Struthio camelus: one gene and its partner. The protein of the gene in region 1 interacts with the protein of each later gene in a pairwise test. Links are inferred from orthologs where the notes say so. Each region holds a gene or a part of one and is shown on either strand. Other genes may lie near its edges.

The links. The genes of interacting proteins can lie anywhere in the genome.
Region 2: the proteins of NMT2 (region 1) and ACBD6 interact in binary tests that used the Homo sapiens proteins (3 or more experiments, as listed by UniProt). The link is inferred for Struthio camelus from reciprocal best matches to the Homo sapiens genes NMT2 and ACBD6.

What each region holds. Positions count from the first base shown.
Region 1 is NC_090943.1:24,860,701-24,870,841, reverse strand, and holds the start of NMT2 (glycylpeptide N-tetradecanoyltransferase 2), read right to left. Parts: upstream 4,707-10,141; 5' UTR 4,691-4,706; coding exon of another isoform or gene 4,642-4,690; coding exon 4,581-4,641; intron 1-4,580.
Region 2 is NC_090949.1:6,765,058-6,775,616, forward strand, and holds the start of ACBD6 (acyl-CoA-binding domain-containing protein 6), read right to left. Parts: upstream 4,375-10,559; 5' UTR 4,346-4,374; coding exon 4,151-4,345; intron 1-4,150. UniProt on the Homo sapiens protein: Binds long-chain acyl-coenzyme A molecules with a strong preference for unsaturated C18:1-CoA, lower affinity for unsaturated C20:4-CoA, and very weak affinity for saturated C16:0-CoA. Does not bind fatty acids. Plays a role in protein N-myristoylation.

The DNA of each region.
Region 1 (10,141 bases):
TCTCACTGCATCTACCCTGATGGTTTTACCAGTATGATGAATAAGAAAGAGTTGAGGCCAGTACTAAAGCGATGCACAAACCAAACCTCAGCTAAGGCAAAAGAAGAGTCAAGAGACCTTGCTCTGTCCCAAAGAAAATTCAACTCTGCCACAGAAACAGGCTGTAGGCATGACTTTGCAAAAGTTATTTAGGCCCACGTTTTTATGATTTTGCCTGCAAGTTACACATGTAAGCCCATGATCCCACCCACATACCTTTCCACTTATGTACACACATCTGGTGTTTTGCAGACTTGTCCTTCTCCCAGTGTGCATTTTTTTAAATCCGAAAAATGGGAATATCTGCTGCACTTAGGGAGGAGTGTGGCAAATGCTGAGAAACTTACTTTAGGGTGCTCTGAACAAAATTATGAAAAGCTCAGATGTTCAAAGAAGCAGGAGGAGTATTATAGTTATTCCACTCAGGTGGTCAAACTGTTTCAGTTCCCTTGCTTTTGATTTGAGATCATCTTTCCCAGTGAGTATTCTTCAGTGTTATTTTAATCATCATTTTTGAACATTAAATGCTGCTTTAGCAGAAACAGCTTCTTGTAATACTAACATATGTTTTAAATTATGTGGGGTGGCAATTTTAAGTCAGAAATTTCTCACTTCTAAAACCAAACATGTATTTCAGATGTTTATTTTTAAGTCGCAAAGGCCTAGGCCTGTATGGTTTTTTTCCTTCACCATATTTTTGTCTCTCTATGAGTAAGTGAGGTTGCAAAACTACAGTTCTGCACACCCTATATAGATCTCTTGGATCATAAAAATTAGATCTCATGTATATAGGCCAGACCGTAACAAACAGCAAAGTTACATTATTTATACTAGGGCTGTCCCTGGTTCATGCAGAAAACGGAGGCTTATGTGCAAAGGGCTTTCCTACTGCAGTATTAGAGGACCACCATTTTGAGAGAATAAAAAGTATGCTGACATGAAAGTCTTAAGTCCTTCAAATTTCACTGCTAAAACTACTACTGGTAACAACTGTCCTGGACTAAGGCTTCATTTTCATACATTTCAGTACTTGGAAATGCACAGGTTTTTTTGAGCATGAAAACCTACTAGTATGCCTTAAACCCTGATATAACAGGTACTCCCCAAAGCTTAGCATGTTTCGTCTACCCCTCCTTCAAGCCTGTAAGGCTATACTCTAGGAGTTAAGTCTCACCTGTCAAAGCAGAACTCTTCCTCCAGTGCCTTAAAAATTGTATTTTTTTAAAAAAAACTGAAAGTAGTACTGCTTATAAAGCTGCTATAGAATCATAATTAAAGGATTATGCTAATAAAATGTTCAAAGGAAAGCATTTATGAGGGTTTAGGGGTGGGAAGGAGACTTTTTTGTTTAAAGGTTATTAATTTTCCTCATCTGCTTATTAAATATTCTCTGTTCTAACCCCTTCTATCATACAGTATAGGGAGCTCTTTACAATGAACACAAAGCTGGGCTCAGCAAGGTGGAGTCAGGTGCAATAAACACAATTTTTATCTACATACACACTAAAAAAGCTACTTGGTAAACAACATTTTATTATGAAACCAAACAAGTACAGCAGAATGCATCTATCAGGAACATACTGCAGAGACAGAACAGGAGAATAGCAATATGAGTCACACAACATACATAATCTTGCATCTAGAAAACAGGAGCACAGAGGACAAAGACACTTGCATAGTTGAGAGCTATAAATTGTTATGTTCTGCTGCAGTCATTCAGTGCTCAAGCACATCAAAAAAACCCAAGAGTAAACTAAAAATCAATTCATGCATATATATATATATATATATATATATATATACATACACACACACCATATCTATTTGGGGTTAGTATTATAAAGGTGCAATTTCAAATGTCAAGAAACAGTTTCAGAGCAACTTCATACACCTTCCAGTCTTACTAGAGACTGACACGCAGAACACAGTCTACCTCCTTATAAGAAAGTAGCAGTTGAGATAGGATGACATTAAATATTCATCAGCAGCAATGCAGACCATTCAGAAGTTAACAAGTCATTGCCACAGTCACAATTTTAAGTTGTAGGACTGCTTACGAAATACTTAATTATATAAAAACTAATCTGAAAATTCAAAGCAAATTTTAAAGCTACTGCAAAAATAAATACATTACAATAGGGAACATGGGCTCCTACTACCATGAGTTAATTTCCTAGATCTGGAAGAGATCTTAAAATATTGTTGTGTTTGCTGTAATGTAAGACTTTTCATTTGATGAAATTTGTTCAAACGCTTTGGCCTGCAGATAAAGAGTAACAAACCAGATCTTCAAAAATTATGAGAAAATAAAACAGTAATTAGTACTAGACTCCATGGATCAAAGCCTGATAAGAAACTGATGTCTAATATTTAGAGGCTTTTTTCTACTTGAATGACCTACCATTTACTTCACTAAACTTCATGTACATTACTTTGAATAAGAAGCTGGATATTTCCAAGATGAATAAAGTGGCTTCTTTGAAATACTCATTAAAATACATTTTGGATATTCAACAAAAACAAATTTTGGAGAGCGCAGCGTATGGCCCATAGCCACATTAGTTGTCCCACAAAGCTTAGGGCCCTAACTTGGAGCACAACGGCAAGCTACGATGCAGAGCATGCTGAAGTGCAATTCTTTGTTCCACTGCTGCAGCTTATACACTGCTTCTGCACCCCCTGTCAAAGCAGCCCGAGTGCACAGCCGCAAGACCAGATATACAGCACAAGGCAACTACAGCTCGATCACGAAAACAAGCAGGAGAAGAAATCAGAGCAGGAATAACATCGGAATGAATTCTAGACAGCCATTACCAAGCCATCAAACAATCTGGCCAGGCACGTCAGGTTGGCGTCTACGAAGAGCAATAAATAATCATTCACTATTTTTAGTGGTGTTTCTTTTATGAATTTGGAAGCCAAACAGCGGCATAGTTATGCAAACAAATATAACAAAAGCCCCAAGATAATTAAAAATTATCCTGTCCCTTTTGTCAATAGCCTAGCCTCACATTACAATAATTTTTTTACACAATTATTTTAGCACGCTTGCCAAAAATGTGCTGAGAGAGTGGCAACGGAGGAAGTTTTTCCCTTTCCTACTTTTCAAACAAGTCAGCCCTTCTACCTCTCTCAGATTTTTCCTCACCATGTTTAAGATGCAGAGCTGCTTGTTGCCAAGCAAATCCGAGGGGCAGGAGTCGACATGCAGCTTACAAGTATTCTGCATCCTCCAACATCAATCACCTTCAGAAATGCTCTCAGCCAAACGAATCAGAAATTCATGGGGAAGATGTGTGTGTAGTGGTTTACAAATTAAACTATTTCTACTTCAGGCTACGTGAGCCACTCCTAGCTGTGACAACAAAGCATTTTCTCTTTGCCAGCATATTTTCTAATCCAAAAAGCAAAAAGGTAAATTTAAATGAAGTCAATTTTTAAAATACGTTCCCCCTGCTCCCCTCCCTGCAGGGCCCCAAACTGCGGAGGAAGCTCCTTGCGCCCAGCTGGGGCCAGGCAGAACACGCTGGAACGTCAATCAGGTGCAAGGGGCCCGCGCGCGTGGGCCACCTATCTTTTTTTCTTCCCAAGCACCCAGAGGAGAAATCTGATCTGCAGCGTGGGAAGATTTAAGCTGCGCAGTGAGAGGAGAGAAGGGACTACAACAAAAACACCAGTATCTGCTGTAGTTCACGTCTCGACAAAACACACGCTCAACTCTCCAGAACATGTGGATTTAGAGCTAATATTTCCTTTTGGACAATAGATGACGTTGCGTAGGAGGGGTACCGTAACGTAGCGCATGACAGACGGCCAGAGAGCGCGTCGGAAAAGGTCTGGGAGCGGGGAGATCGGCGGAGGGGGCGAGCCGGGGGCGCCCCTCCCTCGGGAGCGGCGGAGCGCGCGGGCAGAGGGGGCGCCCCACGCGCTCCCGCACCCCAGCGCCGCGACCGACTCCGCCGTGCTGCCGAAAGGGCAAGGGAGAAATAAGAAAACTCGCATCCAAAACTAAAAAAACAAAACCAAACCAAACACACAAAAAAAAAAAACCCGGAGAAATCGCGGTAAATAAGTAAATCAGCAAAGCCAGGGTTTACCGCTCGTGCGCCGGGAGCGACCACAGCGCCCGCTCCGCACTCCGGGCCCCGCGGCGCCGCCACAGCCCGGCCCGGCCCGGCCGCCCGCTGCCGGGGCCGGCGGGCTCCGGGCGGCCGCAAAGGGAAGGGCCGGGGCACGGCGGGCGGAGGGCGGCTGCCGGCGGGGTCTCGCTCCGCGGCGGCGGCGGCACAGGCGCAGACGCGGCGGGGAAGCGGCCGCGCCGCCATGCAGGCGGCCTGCGCCTGACAGGAGCTGCGCTCACCTGGCCCTGCCGCCCGCCCGCCGCGGAGCTCTCTGCGGCGGCGCGGCTCGGCTCGGCTCGGTTCGCCCCGCACAATGGCCGCGTCCGCCCCAGCCCCCGCCGCGGCAGCGCCGCGTTCCCCGCGGCGCAGCCCGCGGCGAGCCGAGCCGAGGCGAGCCGAGCCCGCCGGGCGCCCCCCTACCCCTTGGCGTGCTCGGCCTCCTCCTCATTGTCGCCGTCGATGCCGCAGGTGTCCTGGTCATCCAGCTCCAGGCTCTGCTGGCTGGCCGCAGACTCGCTGTCCTCCGCCATCACGGGGGAAGGAGGGAGGGCGGGGGGCGGCGCCGCAGCCTATGAAAGGAAGCGGGGCGCGGGCAGAGGCAGCCCGGGGGAGCCCCCTCTAGCGGCCGTCCTCCCCGCCCGCGCCGGCCGGGGCAGCAGCACCGGCAGCCGCGGGAGGCCGCCGCCCGCCGGCGCCTGCGGGCCGCGGCGGCGAGGCGGGGCGGGGGCTGCGCGGCGCGGCCTGCGGGCCCTGCCGCCCTCCCCGGGGGGGAACGTGCCGCCGGCCGCCAGCCGCCCTCAGCTGCCCGCCCGCGGGCTGGGGCTCCCCTCGGCGTTGGCGGCGTGGGCAGGACGGGCCCGTGGGCGAGCCAGGCCTCGCGGTCAGTCGGTGGGGCTGCAGCCGGCAGCCCGTAGCAGCACGCGAGTGCCTTTCGCCAACTTCCTACCTTTCGTTTTCATGCTGCGTTGTGCCACCGAAGTTGCTGCTGGTAGATGCTGTTGGCGCCTCCGTGGCCTTTCCTCTGCGCAGCCACCGGCTTTTGCAACACTTGGTGCTCTCCTGAGGTCCCATCTCCGAGCTTGTTACTGTTGAACTTAAAGGACGGTGCTGGCCCCAAAACAAACAAACAGGCAGGAATAATTTAGGCTGGAAGTTCAGAGGCCTCGCGCTTCTGAGAACCTGGAACAGCCTGACAGGAGAAGTTGTAGAGGCCAAAAACGCCACCATTTTATTGTGCTACTGCATCAGTTTGCTAAAAGTACTCCACGCTGTGCCTGTCTGTGGTACCAGACGTGATGGCACAGGAGGCTGCTTCTAACCCTACGTGTCTGTGAGAACTCAAAATTTTTACAGTAATTTTCCAAGTTTATTTCCTACAAGTTCCATGCTAGAAAAAAGGGAGTTCGAATCTTAAAAATTCAAGACCAAGAAAACAAGGAGAAAAAAAAACTTGCATTAATTAGTTGAACTGCTGGGATTTCCATGGTCGTATCAAGACTGCTAGGTGAAATTCAGAATGTTTGAACGCATGGTCTGGCAGTGCTGGCAAACATTGCACTAAAACGTAAAAGTAATATGCACCCATTGTAATTTCTCCTTATCCCTGCCACCCTCTTGAAAGTCACTTCATGGGAGGAAGACTTTTTTTCCCCATTTATGAAGTCAGGTTGTGTCATGTTTTGCTCTACCAGATGCTGCAGAGGTAATGTCAAATAGAAGATCTCACTGGCCAAGCAGGAGACAGCTAGATGTTCCTCCAGCTGTGCGCTGCTTGGCTGCTCTCTTCTCAGTCAAACTCTGCACCTGTGCATACCGAGCACCAATTCTGTGCCACTCCGAGTCCCATCGCACTTGGTCCTTTAAAACATGCGAGTTGCCGCAGGAACTTGTAATTCAAATACCTAGGATTCTCGAAGAGTGCAGGACAAATGAGGTAATGGGGAAAGATCCTGTGAGCTGCCTTTCAACTACAAAGATTCTCCTAAGCTGCCTCCCGACTCCCTTGTTCTAAGCCTGGTTGTATAGTGAAGTCTGGCGGAAAGTGCCACCCTTGCACTGTTAAATAATCACTTAATATTTGTTGTGTGCCACAGGTGGACTTGTGTGAGCCCCTCACACTTTGTTATGAAAAGACAGAGGGAAAGACAATGAGGTAAATGTAAAATCTAACAGCCAGTCTAATGAAACTTGAAGCAGTAGGAAGTGACTTTTCACTACCTGATTCTGCCCCCAGTTTTCTCTGGCAATTCTTGCTCTTCCTGGCAACTTTCTTCTCCTCTGTGCTTTTCCAGTGGTGTCCTGGGCAGGGTGCACTCTTTTACCCCTTTGCTGGGTTGCTAGAATAAACATGGTAATAAGAGTGCTCTCATGTTCTCCTACACCTTCCATTTGAATTTTGAAAACGACTATATGATTTTAAACCCCAAAATAATGAGGTGACGAAGAATTATGATGACATGGAAACAGGTGTAATATGTCTTAATTTTTCTTCACAACATGAACTTTACCACGGGCGTGAAACCTGCGCTGATAGGATTCTAACATGTGGCTTTGCCTAGAATGATTTGAGGACAGAGCAATTAAGGAGGAGCAATTAAGTTAGAAGAGAAGCTAAGCAAATCTCCTTGCCATGGATATTTCCATCCACGTGAAGAAAACTTCCGTTTTCAAGGTATCTGAATGGGTAATGCAATATGGTTTTAGCAAATGCAGGACCTATCATGATAAATTCTGATGTATCTCCTTTCATGACCATATTCAAATTTTCTGTGCCTGCAAACTATGTTGAACTTCCATTATCTGACAGGTATTTTCTGTCTTGGTAGTTTTCAAATCCTAGCTGTGATGACTGAAAAATTCAAGGGCACTAAATTAACAAGGCTAGAAACTACTCAACCAGCATACTCCAAATCAAATAAACGGTGACATAGCTTACCTATCTTTAAAAACAGGTGAAACCCAATTCTGTTCCTGAACATGGCTAAATTGTTAAGGCGATGTGTATCTTCCATAAATGAGCAAAGGGAGAGAGAAAAAAAAATAGATAAGTGGCCTACCCTCGACTATCGCAAAACTGATGGAGTGTGTAATTAACACTTGGCCACGTATGACCTCACAGCGTGAAGCCATCGCTGTAGTTCAGAGGGGAAACATGCCTACCACATTACCACAGTTTGAAGTGACTTTTGGAAGTGAACTTCTTAACTTCAGTCAGTTGTCCTGTGTAAGGGAAAGGAAATCTCAGAACATAGGCACAATTCCAAATACTTTTAAATAACAAAAAAAGGTAATGGTGAACAGCTGCAGGGAGAGGAGTTAACCTAGTGGTTAGTAATAGTTTTAATTTGTATGTTTTTCCAATAATGTGTAGGAGAAAGTGAGGAACAATATGTCAATGACTAAAGACCGATACTGAGTCATTCTGTTAGACAGACTGTGGTTTTAAGCCATCTTCTGTTCTTTACCACAATTTTCATCAACACATTGAGGAGAACGGAGTATGGGAAGCCTGGTAGTTAGTTACGGAAAAAAACTGTAGGGGATATTGGAGACGGCTAGGATTGCCGTATTCTGACTCTTCATGCCGTACACAGGGACAATAATGTCTCGCTCTCGGTTGCTGCCCCTGTGCAAAGGCCTCCCTGGAAGCGTGATCAGGAAGCGCATAGCTGCCGAGCTGCGCTCTTTGAGCCTTCACAGCGTCCCTGAAGGGCTACTCTAACAGCCCTACTTAGGGCAATTACACCTTACTTCCCAAGAGGCACAACTGAGAATATACTCCAGATTTGACTGTTGCAAGGCCAAATAACAGCACTGAATTGTCTTTTGAGTTTCATAAAGCTGCGACTTCTGCTTATACCACAAGCAGAGAAGTTGATCAGAAGGGAGAGGTATGCACCTCTTGCACCGAGGATTTCTCCAATGTCGTTTCCTCTGTTTCTGACGTTAGCAGACAGATCCCTAGAAGGTGTAAATTCATTCCATAAACCTCAGACACTCTTCAGTAGTTGCACTACCTGATAGATTTTGGCTGTCATATATATACGTGTCTTCCCCAAATACAGCAGCAAGGTGTAAAAAAGGTACCCCTCAAGTTCAGGACCCCACATGCCCAGCCATGCTGAGGTAGCTGAGTACGCTGCCAGTATACCATTAGCGCAGTCAGCAGCATGGGTGGCACCCAATATGCCCACACAGGCTGCCTGCCAGTAGCCTGCAGGCATCTCTACTTGCAAGGGCTCTGTTATGGCAGGTGGGTGCGTCTGGGACCTCCCAGTGCCCCTCTGTACAAGTAATGCAGACATAACCCACAGGCTTGTTCAATCTAAGCAGATCACCAAAAGCTATATGTTTCATTGTAAACTTAAAAAGTAAAGAGCCTGTGTTTGTTAGGGTATGAATCACTGTCTTGTTAATTGATAAAAAGCCCCCTTCCTGGATGCATCAGGAAGATAATAGCCTTTCATTTTGTAAAGATTAAAAAAGAAGCACAGTAATTTTACAAGAAAGCTAAAAAATGAATAGACAAAGGAGAACGGAATTCCTAATCAGCAGATACACTTCACTGAATACTAAACAGCGTACAATAAAATCAGTTAAATAATTCCAGCACTTGATGGATTAATGCAAGTTGCTTATTTTCAGTGGAGTCTTCAGCGTTTTAGTATGGAGTCCGAGTTTGCTTCTAAACGTAGCCAGAATATCTAGTCACTTACAGCAACAAATTGCTGGGAAAGGAGAAGAGAAAGGTCAAGGAAAAGACTACAGCCATAGCTCTGCCTGGCTGCTCACACCAGTGTCAGCCACCATGTAACAGACCAGTGTATAGGAGATCCTCTGCACTGCCACAAATCCCAGCTTTTTGCACCTTTGCCTGTCCTAGCTCTCTTTCCAGGTTCTATTTCCTCCACTTTCTATGACAGATACAGTCATGCCCTTCTCTTGAGTACCCCAAATTAACCTTTGCCTGCAATTCTGAGACGCTTTGAGCCATTTTGGATGTTAGCATATGAACATAGGCTGAAATCCCCAAATGGACTTTTGTGTTGCAATGTTTAACTTGTTTCTAGATGACTCACATGGTGAAATCTGAAAGTCAAAATGGGGCCTTAAAAATACTCAAAATTCAGTGCCCAAAGTGAGCTTGAAAGACATCTAGGCTACCAAGTGGGGAGCCATCTAAACTAGCCAAGAAACACCGGGGATAGGGATGTCTTAACTCCTTTGACTCTACAGGGCTTTTTCGGATCTTGCCTATTGGATTAACCATCAACTGGCAGCACGTCTAGCGTGTGGTTTATAACAGATCTTAGAAGTTTAAATAATGTAAGGCATACACTCTAGATCCCAAATCACTTCTGTAGATGTCTTCCTCACCTGCCTTAACTTTTTTCAACATCCCCTTAAAAATACAAACAAGAGAACTACAGCTAGCATCCTGATGTTGGTGTCACTAGTGCCCATGGAAATAAAAATTGCCTCTGTCCTCAGTATTCCATTGTTTGAAGGCAAGCACTAGAAGTTTTTATTGAAGGTGTGACACTGGAAACTCATGTTCAGCAGTTTCACATGCCAAGCTACCGACAACAATATGAGAGACAGGCGGTTGTTCCAGGAAGCATCCCAAACCAGTTGTAAGGACTTACTCAGAAGTAGCATACAGCACAGATGGGTTGAGTTTCAAGATAGCTTGAGGCAAGATATGCCTCAGTAGTGACAGAAAAAGTATTTTGGTATCAGGAATAGAGTCAAGTTTATATTTTGGTATTTTATTTCCCATTTGTTTTAATTTTCCAGCTTGCTAATGAAGCAGCTCAACTCTGCTTTTTTAGAACAAAGTTGTGTGGCGATACTAGTAAACTCGCCTAGCATTAAGACAGAATTAAGGTGAGTTTCACAGATATATCATATGGATGTTTATTTTGTAGAAGTTTTGTAGATGGGACAGGCAAACACTCTGGAAAGTGCAGTTTAATGCAGTG
Region 2 (10,559 bases), on another chromosome or scaffold:
GAAATACCTATTTTCAGTACAGATTTGTGGCATAATGTTCTAGAACATTTGAAAGATGTCACATGAAAATGGGATTATCTACTTAAACCCACACCCGCTAGAGACAGCGTAAGCCCCGTTTTGCTAACGGCACTGGATTTCCAGCTTGCCTGAACCTCCCGTCATTTACTTAAATACTGGCACCTCCTCCTGCCAGCACAGCAGTTTTCTCAGCCCGATCACTGCCACCGAGGCTCCGGATTCACCCCCCTATTTGAGTGGCAAATACTGTATTGGTCTCCACTTCAACAGTTTCTGAGCCCCAGTCCTTCACATCTCCAGCGTGACAGGGAAGTGCTACTACCTTCACCTTACTGCTGAAGACGCAAGGTGCAGAGAGGACAAGTGATTTGCCCAAAGCCACACGTGCAGGAGGGGGAGAACGAGAAAATCAGTCCCGGTCCCGAGCCCTACCACTAGTCCATTCTTCCTCCTGTTCTGGAGCAGAGAGTCGTAAACTCAGCAACATCTTCTAAAAAGCTCACTGGAGATGACAACCAAGCAATTCCCTTATTTTCAAGTCTCTGACACATAAACAAAATCAGAGAGAAAAGTAATAAAATCCTGAAATGGCCTCCAATAAAAGGTAATAAAATTCCAGGAAAATGGTTATATACCCAAATAGTTTGAAATAAATAATGCACAGTATTTTAACAGAGAGCTCAGCTGTTACTGTCATCTCTTTTATGACGGTGCTGTATCTTAAATCAAAGCCTTTAGTGACATAAAACACTAGACTGTGGAAAGATAAGGATGCCAAATCAAGGACAGTGGACAGATCTGAGTCAGCACCTTTTGTACGCTAGCAATACTACTGTCCACTGGAGTAATATATTAGCAGCCCATTATGCATACTGATATGGCTGCTATAATTAAATAGAGAAAAGTCGCATTAAGTACCATTGCTTTGATTTAAAGCACAGAATGCTGCACAAAGTGAAGTTAGCAGAACCTAATCCTGCAGTAGCTGTACTAGCAAACTTCTCCCACCTTCACTGCAAGCGCTGCCCTCCCAGGCACTGTAAAACAAGGACTGCACCTTTCTGGGCTGTGCTGGACAAGCGACAGCGTAGCTCCTAACCCACCCCAAAACCAAGGTGCAGGAAAGCTCTTGCTTCCGCGTGCAGCTCAGCCAGGTATGACAGGGACAGAGAAGGAGAAGAGAGAAATAGGCTGATCCCACCAGCAGCAGTCAACTGGAAACCTGCCACAAATCTGTGCTGATGCACAGTAACGACTGGTCTTTTTAGGGCTTCTATCAAACCCATCATTGCTGTGAAATAGCTTCTGATTTTAGTAATTTTTAAGCCAAACATTAAACACCTTGTTGCTCTTACAGAGCCAGCACCAGGAAACGCCCTGTAGTCTGCTAGCTATCAAACTGATATGCAAGTAATGCCTTCCCTTTTCCATCCACGGCAGGACAAAACATTTGCAAGAAAATGAAAAATAGAGGTTATTTGCAGCACATCTCCTCAGGCTACAGAAATGCTTGTTCAATAATTACATGCAACAACAAAGTTTATAGTACAGAAAAACCCCTTTCTCTTCATCTCATCCCAGGCATGGTTCTTACAGTTCTTACTAAAGTTCCCCAGGTACTTTCCCCCACCTTTTTCTTAAAAGCAGAAAGAATCCTGTAGACCTGCTTAAGCAGCAGAAAAATCTGAAGACAGAGCATCACATGACCAGCCAGCACTTGACAGAATTAATGGCCCACAAACCAGTCTGAGAGCCACCAGCTTGGAGAATAACTAAATACTGCTTTAAAAAAATAAAAATGTTTTGAAGTGGCTGTAGTGAGACAGTATCTGTAGTGCATCCCATATGGGAGAAAAATTATGGGGAAGATGCACACACTTAACTTTGACTCTGCTAATCCGAGCTGATGCAAAAGGATCACATGCAAGTTTCAAGTCAAGGCAGCGTCTCTTGTCACACACACAGTCATATTTGTACTTTTATTCTTTAATCTCCCAGTTGTAACAATACTCATGACTTTGTTTCTCCAGGCTAACTAATTGTTACAGTCCTTTGTACCTTAGCTGGTGCTTTTTCTGTTTTGTTTGCATAGATTCTCCCACAGGAGCAGGAAAAACTGACACGATTATAAAAGGTGGGGGGCGAGTTATAACAGGGTAACACCAGCAAGCATGCTCAAGTTGGTTTTAATGCTTTGAACTATTTACCTATCAGTAAACCATTGTATCGTGTCAAAGCACCCATCCGACAAAGAACAGGAAAAAATTAAGCTTAGCTGATTATCCACAGAAGATATTTCAGAGTCCTTCGGTGAACAGAAAGCGGTCAGTTACAAAATGCTTGCCGATCTAGTCTATGATCAGACATACAGGCAGCAGGGAAATATCTCTATGATAACAAGTGTTTAAAGTTTATCCTTAACAAGGGAACCAAATCACACCATACATTCCAATAGGACGCATCCCAGAACTTGCCAACTCACGGGAACCGAATGGGAAAAGGATTCACATTCAAAATTATACATACAGCTGAGGAGTTTAATTTCCCAGTCCACACCAAGGCTCTGACTCCACGAATAGATCTGGACCGACACATGAGGCCACACCAAAACTTCAAAAGTTTAATGCTCACGCCCGGCCCAGTAATACAGAGCCCACTGCAGAGCTCGCATCTCTGAACGGGAAGACCAGCGCCAGCGCTAGCGTTGCCCTACAAACCGTTCAGTCGGCTTTTCTAACCTGCTCGTAGGAACTACTTGTAAAAATACAAAGAGAGCTCAGTTTCCTTGTCACCTAACCTACACAATGGAGCTGACAAATGGAAGTGAGACAGCGATATTTGTAAGATTACTCCACAAGTTACTCCACAAAGACTCAGCAAACTTTTCGACAGGCCAGCGACCCACCGGTGAGCTGTCACAGCACTGACTCCTCAGTGACTAAGGCCAAATCCTACAGACAATTTCCCAACTTCGAGCAACTGAGCAGCCCCCACAGGGGTCAAACTGAAGTTTTCAGCTCAGAGGCGAGCAGCTTTGTACTACAGTTACCCACAGTGAAGCAGAAAAGAATTGGAAACACCGTGATTAATTAAGAGGCTCTTTATCCCATTATATTTTCTCTAGCTTTATCATACGCAGTGTTAAGGCAACTCAACTTTTGTGCTTTAATAAAGAGCTTTCTACATCCTTATTTTCACAAGCTGGGTCGCCTTGCTCCTTAGGCAACTTTTTCCCACTTATCACGTAGGATACAGAAAGCATGTTTTTTGCAAGGCAGAGATTGCGGCCATCAAAGGACCGAGGCAAGGTGCCTCCAGGAGAGCCCTGAAGCAAGTAACTTTCTCTGACCAACCAGAGTCAGGACTTGCTCTATCCATTTCCAAACTGCCCTCAAACTCCTTCTGCACTAAAGGGTCTAACGGTTTAACCCGGGGTGCCCTGTACACACCCGAGGTCCTCATCCGGGACCCCAACAGGGCCTGAAACCTCGGCCAGGGGTGGAGGGGGGAAGACCCTGGGACCCACCTGTGGGGTGGGAAGAGAAAGAGAGGGGGCAGGAAAGAAGATACATGAGGCCTGGCTGGGGGAAGGGACCGGGGGGGGGAGGAGGTGGTGGAGGAGGTACATGGGGCCTGGCTGGGGGGAAGGGACCCGGGAAGGGGGGAGGAGGTACATGGAACCTGGCTGGGGGGGAGGGACATGGAGGGGGCAGAAGGTATGTGGGGCCTGGCTGGGCGGGGGGGAGGTACGTGGGGCCTGGCTGGGGGGAGAGATGGGGGGGCAGAAGGTACGTGGGGCCTGGCTAGGGGGGGAAGAGACACAGCGGGGGGCCAAGGTACGTGGGGCCTGGCTGGGGGGGGGAAGAGACACAGCGGGGGGACAAGGTACGTGGGGCCTGGCTGGGGGGAAGGGACACGGGGGGGGGACAAGGTACGTGGGGCCTGGCTGGGGGAGCAGAGACACAGCGGGGGGACAAGGTACGTGGGGCCTGGCTGGGGGGAAGGGACACGGGGGGGGCAGGAAGCCCGAGTGGGGGGAGAGGGGAGGCCCGAGGCGCCGGCGGGCCGGGCCGGGCCGGGCCGGGCCCCCCCGTCGCGGCGGCGGCGGCGCCCGGGGCCGGGCCCTCACCTGCTTGTACCTGGCGTACAGGTAGAGGAGCTGCTCCTTGCTGGCGGCCGGCACCAGCGCCGGCAGCCGCTCGGCCGCCTGCTCGAAGAGGGCGGCCAGGTCGCGGCCCGGCGGCGCCGGCTCCTCGGCCTCCGGCCCCGAGCTCGCCTCGCCGCCGCTCGCCGCTGCCGCCGCGGCCAGCGGGGGCGACGCCATGGCGGTCGCGCCGCCCGCTCCGCTCCGGTCCGCCCGCCGCGCCGTCCCCCCGGCGCGCAACGGCCGCGCCGCGCCTCGGTACGCGCAGCCGCCGCGCCGGGCGGGAAACGCGCGCCGCGCCCGACCGTTCCGGCCGCCCCGCAGGCCGGCCGGGCGGGGAGACCTGCCCTGAACTTCCCCGGGTAACTTGGCGCCGCTTCGCACCACCCGGCCGGTGAGGAAGGGGAAGCGCTCGCAGAGCGGCTACCACCATCCTGCACAAACAGCGGGTTACTTTTCAAACACCGCATCCACGCCCGACTTCCCAAACGGGCCATGGCCGGGTGCGAAGCAGCAGGGGGCAAACAGCGCCTTCCCGCGGGCTGCGCTGCGAGATGGCGACGATGCTCATGTTCTCACGAGCAGTAACAGCGTGATGGTGCCCACGGGCTCCGGAGAGCCCTCTCTGCCCGACGAAGAGGCAGCTCCCCTCCCTGCAGCCCAGCGAGGGTTAGGCGGAGGGTCCTGCCGGGCGGCAGCGCCTCCCCTCGGGTACGGCCTCCTTCCCGAGGGCGGCACCCGGGCAGCGAGGCTTTTGGGGTTTGTTTAATTCCACCCAGAAACCTGGCATTAAAACATCTCTCCTCTGCTTCTGAAGCTTGCGTTCTCCCTGCGAAGAGAAGGCGGCCAGTCCACTTCCGCCAGCTGCTCCTCAGATATTTCTCTCTCTCTTTTTTTTTTTTTTTTTTGGTTTTTGTTTTAAAAAGAACTATTGCCAAAACTGGATGTTCCCCCCCGGAGACCTCCAACCCCGCCGCAGCGCCGCTCTCTCACCCCAGCCCCGGCCGCCGCTGCCGCCGCTTGGGGGCGGCCCAGGGCTGCGCCTGGCGGCTCCGCTCCGCTCCGCCCGGCCCCGCCAAGCCCCGCCCCGCCCGGCCAAGCCCCGCCCCTCCCGGCCCCGCTCCGCTCCCTGGCTCCGCCCAGTTCTGCCCCGCCCCGCCCAGCTCCGCCCCGCCCAGCTCCGCCTAGCCCAGCCAAGCCCCGCCCCTCCCGGCCAAGCTCCGCCCCCCTGGAGAAACCCGAAAGCGCCTGTCGGCTGCCGGGGCCCGCTGCTGGCTGCCGAGCCGGCCTGCAGATCTTCGTCTGCGATTCCTGCCTGCTGAGGGTCTTCCCATACCTTTATTTTTATTTTTTTTAAGGGGGGGGTGATGGCATCTCCCCTCGCTCGAGCAGGAAACAAACCCGGGCGGCTCCGCAGGAGCGCGGGAGGCGTCGCGGCCGGAGAGCAGAGCGGGCCGGGGGCGCACGCAGGGGTGCCCGAGGGCAGCCCCAGCGAACCGCGCCGCGCGGCCGTCAGTCACCCTGCCCGGGGGATGCCCTCGGGGAGCGCTGGCAGGTCCCCCTGCCCTCGCCTGCACTGGGCGGGGGGGGTCCCGGCCAACGCGAGCCCAAAGGCGGTTTATATTTAGCCCGGTATCCGCTTGGCGTGGAAAGTTTTCCCTCCGCACAGCTGTTGAGTCCATCTCCCTTCTCCACCCCCAGCCTCAGCAAATGGCAGCTCCGAGTCATCTGAGGAAACCTGGCCCACCCCGGGGCGCCCAGCGGGTCAAGGAGCCCCGACCTGATCCTCCTCTGGCCTCTTTCCACCCTGGCCAGGGCGCTCCGCTCCTCCCCGGCCCGCCGCAGCCGCTCGCAGCGGCGCGGTGCCCTACGGCCCCCGCTTTGCAGGGGGGCGGACTGAGGCGAAGAGCGCCCGCCAAGCAGCGGGCCCCGCCACGGCTGGGGTTTGCGCCCCGCTCCTGGCAGTCCTGCAGCCTGCCTGACAGCAGCTCGCTAGCCATAGACCCCCCCGTTCGGAGGTCCCCCAGCTCGCCCCAGGCTACCGGCCGTGAGACACGCGTGGCGCAGCCCGGGTGCCGCAGCTGGAGGCTGCCATGGCACCTGCCGGCTGTCCCCCGGCCACCTCCTCTCGTTGCCCCAGGTGGCAGAGGAGGACCGCGGCCGTTCGTCACGGCACGCCCGGGGCCAAGGACAAACGGGCCCCGCACGCGTGCCTTGGGCCACCCGCACAGCTTCTCGGCACCTCCCTGACGCATCCCAGATGCTTCGCGCTCGTTTGCACGTGAGCGGCACGCGCGCCCCTCTTCCTGCCCTGGGGCTTTCAGAGGGAAACGCAGGAGCTGTGGAAAAAACCCCCTCACGCTGGAGCCAGAAATAGACTGGCTCTTACTCACTTTACAGCCCTTTCCCTGCTTCCCTGCGAGCAGGGTTTTTTTCTTTAGGGAGGAAAAAGCTTTGAGGTACCGTGAAACAACGCGGCTGAGGCAGTGAACTGGAGGGCTCCTTCGCGCCTCAGCAGACCCGCAGTTCAGGCTGTTTTGCTGCAAAAGCAGGACGACGTGAGGGCAAGGCAGGACGCGGGCTGCGGGAGAGCTGCAGCAAGGACTGCGCTTGGCTCATACCACGTCCCTCGGTCCTGGTGGTCACCAGGACCAGGAGGAGAAGGAGCACAGCCTTTGCTCAGCTGCTCTGACTGGGCCAGTGCAGCTGCCCTAAATAACCTACTCATTGCATGACAGGGCTTCAAAACTGCCTGCAGTAGACCTCTGCCCCCCACCCCCTGTTCTGGTTCACCCAGGGAGGAAGGGGGCCAGAGCGGAGAGAGGAAGTGGAGAGCAGGGAGAGCTAGGGGAGGTGAGCCCTGAGCTAGAGGAAAAAAGGGACCCATTTGCTGTGCCCAGCTGCAAAACTTCCTGTGCTCCCTCCCACTGGAGCCTCTCGGTGCTGTCCCTCTGTGCAGGGCCAGCAGGAGTGTGTGTGTGTAGGAGCGTGTCCTCCTCTTCCTGCCTGTGTCCCCCCCGTTCCCCACTGCTGTTGGTGGCCGAAGCTGTCCCGGAGCAAGCCACAGCTCAGCCTGTGTGCTACCCGTTAGGGCTGCACCAGGATCTGGGGGCCAGTGCAGGGTGCCCAGCTGGGGGAGGAGGAGGAGGAGGAGGATGGGGCTGGCCTGGCGCAGGGACAGGCATGCGCTGCACCAGGGTTGGGAGCACCCGTCCCCCCGTGCAGCCCTGTGCGCCCAGGCTGCCTGCTGAAGAGCCTGCCGGTGCTGTGCAAGCAGGTTGGAAGTCACAGCAGCCTCCTAGCCTCTGCGGAGGAGAGCGAGTCCCTGGCTCGAGCCGGGAAGGGGGGGAAAGGCGGAATCAGCTTGGCTCTGCTGCTTGCAAATAAAAAATAATAGCTCGTCTCGAGTGCATGACTAACACCCAAACTCATAAACAGACCGCAATATTTACAACGAGCTCTTCCCGCGTGCTGCGCTCCACCAGAAATCAATGAGCTCCATCCAGCTGGCGTCGGGGCTGCACGGAGCCACTTCCCAGCCCGGCTCCGCACGGCACCGTGTGCAGCTCCCTTTGCTCCCCGCGCTGCCGGCCCAGCACCCCGGGGCCCTGCAGCACCCCAGCGCTCAGGCGCGGGACTCCGCACGAGCAGAAAAGCCCTGCTGCCCCAAAGGGGCATGGAAAAAGCTTGGTTTTGTGCGTTGCACGCCAAGGCTCGCAGGCGCCGCGGTCCCCGCCGGCCCCGCTTGCCGCGGAAAAGCGCTGGTTGGTCCCGTTCCGCCAGCGTTCGGCAAGAGACGGCAACCGGGGCAGGGTGGCAGGATGAAACCCTCTAGGAATAGCTTGCAAAAGTACTTGCTGCAAATTGACTGAAGCGCACAGCCTCCGCACGGTTTCTGCCTCGTCTCCATGGTGAAAGAGGCCTTTGTTACCTTGCTGGGCTGCTTTGCTGAAGCACTTATAGCTCATACCAGATTTCTCTCACTTTTTCCTTCCCTTTTTTTAAAGAGCAACTGCACGGAGGGCCCAATCCTTCCCTCTACCCCCTCGCTTCGGCAGGCGTGGGAGCAGGTTTGCTACAAGCCACCCGGGGAGTTTTTAGGAGCTTGGCATGGGAAAAAGCTAAGGAGGTGGATAGCAGGCTCCAAAACGCTTCGTTTGCTCGCTGGGATCACGTTTGTTTTTTTACTGGTTCCCAGCGGCCGGGGGAGAGGGCAGGACGGAGACTCAGAGGGCCCTGGCCGTGGCACCCGAGCTCCCGCAGCCAGCACGAAGCAGGGCCGCGCACCGCAGAGCCCCAGCCCTCCCATTAAGAGCGGGGCCAAAAATCAGGCCCGTTCTCTCTCCGAGGCTCCGGCGGGCGCCTGGCTTGGTACCGGCAGCCGGTGCCCCGGGCTGCCCCGGACATGTCCCTCCTTGGCCTGGGGTCCCCGGTGCAGCCAGCCGTTTCGGCCAGCGCACGCGCTGCTGCCTGGGCATGGCTTTTCCATGCAGGCAATCAGCCCGCGGCTCCTGGCGCGGCTTTCTGCATCTTTTCAGCCCCAAATTAGCCGGGCTGGACCGGCGCCGTCCTGCTCGGCCAGGGCCCTTGCCCGAGCTGTGCGAGCGGATCGGCCCCAGGTCCCACGCTGGGCTCTCAGAGGCACAATAACAGGCTGTAACCAGCAGAGACGAGCAGGGAAAAAATATCCCCGTGTAATTACCACATCCATCATACTGGTCAGCTTGGAAACCCATCATTGTGCCTTTGTGAAGGGCAGGAGGCCGCTCTTCGCTTCCAAGCCGGGGCAGCCTGGAAGGAGCATCTGAAGGGATCCCTGGGAGCTAAGCTATGATTTTACGTTTTCCTTCCACAACAAAAGGAGAAAGAGGTCATTAAGAGCTGTTTTGTTTAAGCCCATTCATTTTACTGCGGGAGACACCTGGCTACGGAGAAAAAAATAGGTCACGGGCTGGAGCTGTGCGCCCTCCCAAGGGCGTGCGGATGGCCGGTCCCCAGCCCTTGAAAATCACGCGGGGGCCACGCCACCGAGGAGCCCTCGAGGTGGCATGTGTTGCCTCGGGCCCTTGCAGACCCGCGTCTCGGGTGAACGCGGGTCCCCTCTGAGCTCCTGGGCTCCCGCGCGGCCCCTCTCTCGGCTCGTTGGTCGTTCCCCTGCCTTTCCGGTTGGTTTTGCCCCCCCGCCGTCCCCCGCAGACCGCCCTTGGCCCGCTTCCGCTTTGCGGAGGGTTGGCTCTGGCTCACCTCGGCAGCGCGCCGGGGCTGCGGGGCGACGACGGAGGAGCACCTCCGCCGCCGGGCCGGGCAGGGCAGCGGGCGCCTCCGGGCTTACCGGCGTCTTGCGGGGGGACGAGCCGAGGGCAACGGGTGCACCGCGGACTTTCTGGGGACCCGTGCAACCAGGCGCCCTTTCCACGGGGTGGGAGCCCGTAGCTGCGGACGGCTCAGCCCGGCGGGCCTGGAGCTGCGTGGGTGACGGCCGCCCATCCACGAGCCATCTCGGCGGGGCGCGGGGCCGACATTTGGGAGCTTTTCTCCTGGCTGCCAAGTCCTCCGAGTTCCCGCTGCGAGACACCGGGCCGTGAGTTTCTGGAAGGAGGCGCGCCGATGTTACCCTTCGGGTTCGTTACTTTATCCCGTCTCCCCTTTCTATATTCTTTACCCGCTCTTGCATCTTTGCGAGCTCCTGTACCGACGCGGTCCTTTGTGGGTGCTCCCCAGCACCCACAGCCGCTACCCCAAAAGCAGAGCTTGCCCTCGCAGGCCCGCAAGCCGAGCAGAGCAGCCCTTGCCTTGTTCGGACCCACCAGGCAAGGCGGTGGCCCTCTGCGGCCGTGGCTCACCCCCGCCCCGCCGGGACGCTCGGCGGCTCCAAAATTCAATATTGGCCAGGGAGGAACCTAAACAAACGGCCGAGGTCTCTGCCCTGGCGTCGGCCGGGTTCGGGAGAGGTCTGCGGAGGAAAGGTCCCGCGGGACCCGGCCCCCCCCGCCTCCCGGGGGGGCCTCGCCGCCGCTTCTGCTGCCGGCCCGGCTGGCCGCTGTGATGGTTTCGCCCCGAGTCGATCCCAGCTGGGCGCCCGCTACGCTTTCAGACCCGCGCCGCCAAGCAATTTGCTGCGGTCAACGCGCGTCTTGGCGTCGTCCTGCCGTAAAACGGCAGATATGTCCGTCAGGGCTGCGCGATCCAGGCCAGGATCGATGCGGGTTCAACGCGGCCCCGGCCAGGGAACGCGTCTTTTATCAGACTTTATACAGCGCTGGGTACGTCTGCCGTGCGGGAGGAGGAGCGGGCAGGGACGGCGGAGGCGGGTGCAGCCGTGCGCCTGGGGACAGGCCCGAGGTGTCCCAGCTCGGGCGGCCGGGCACACGAGGGAAGATGCCGCTGGGAGATG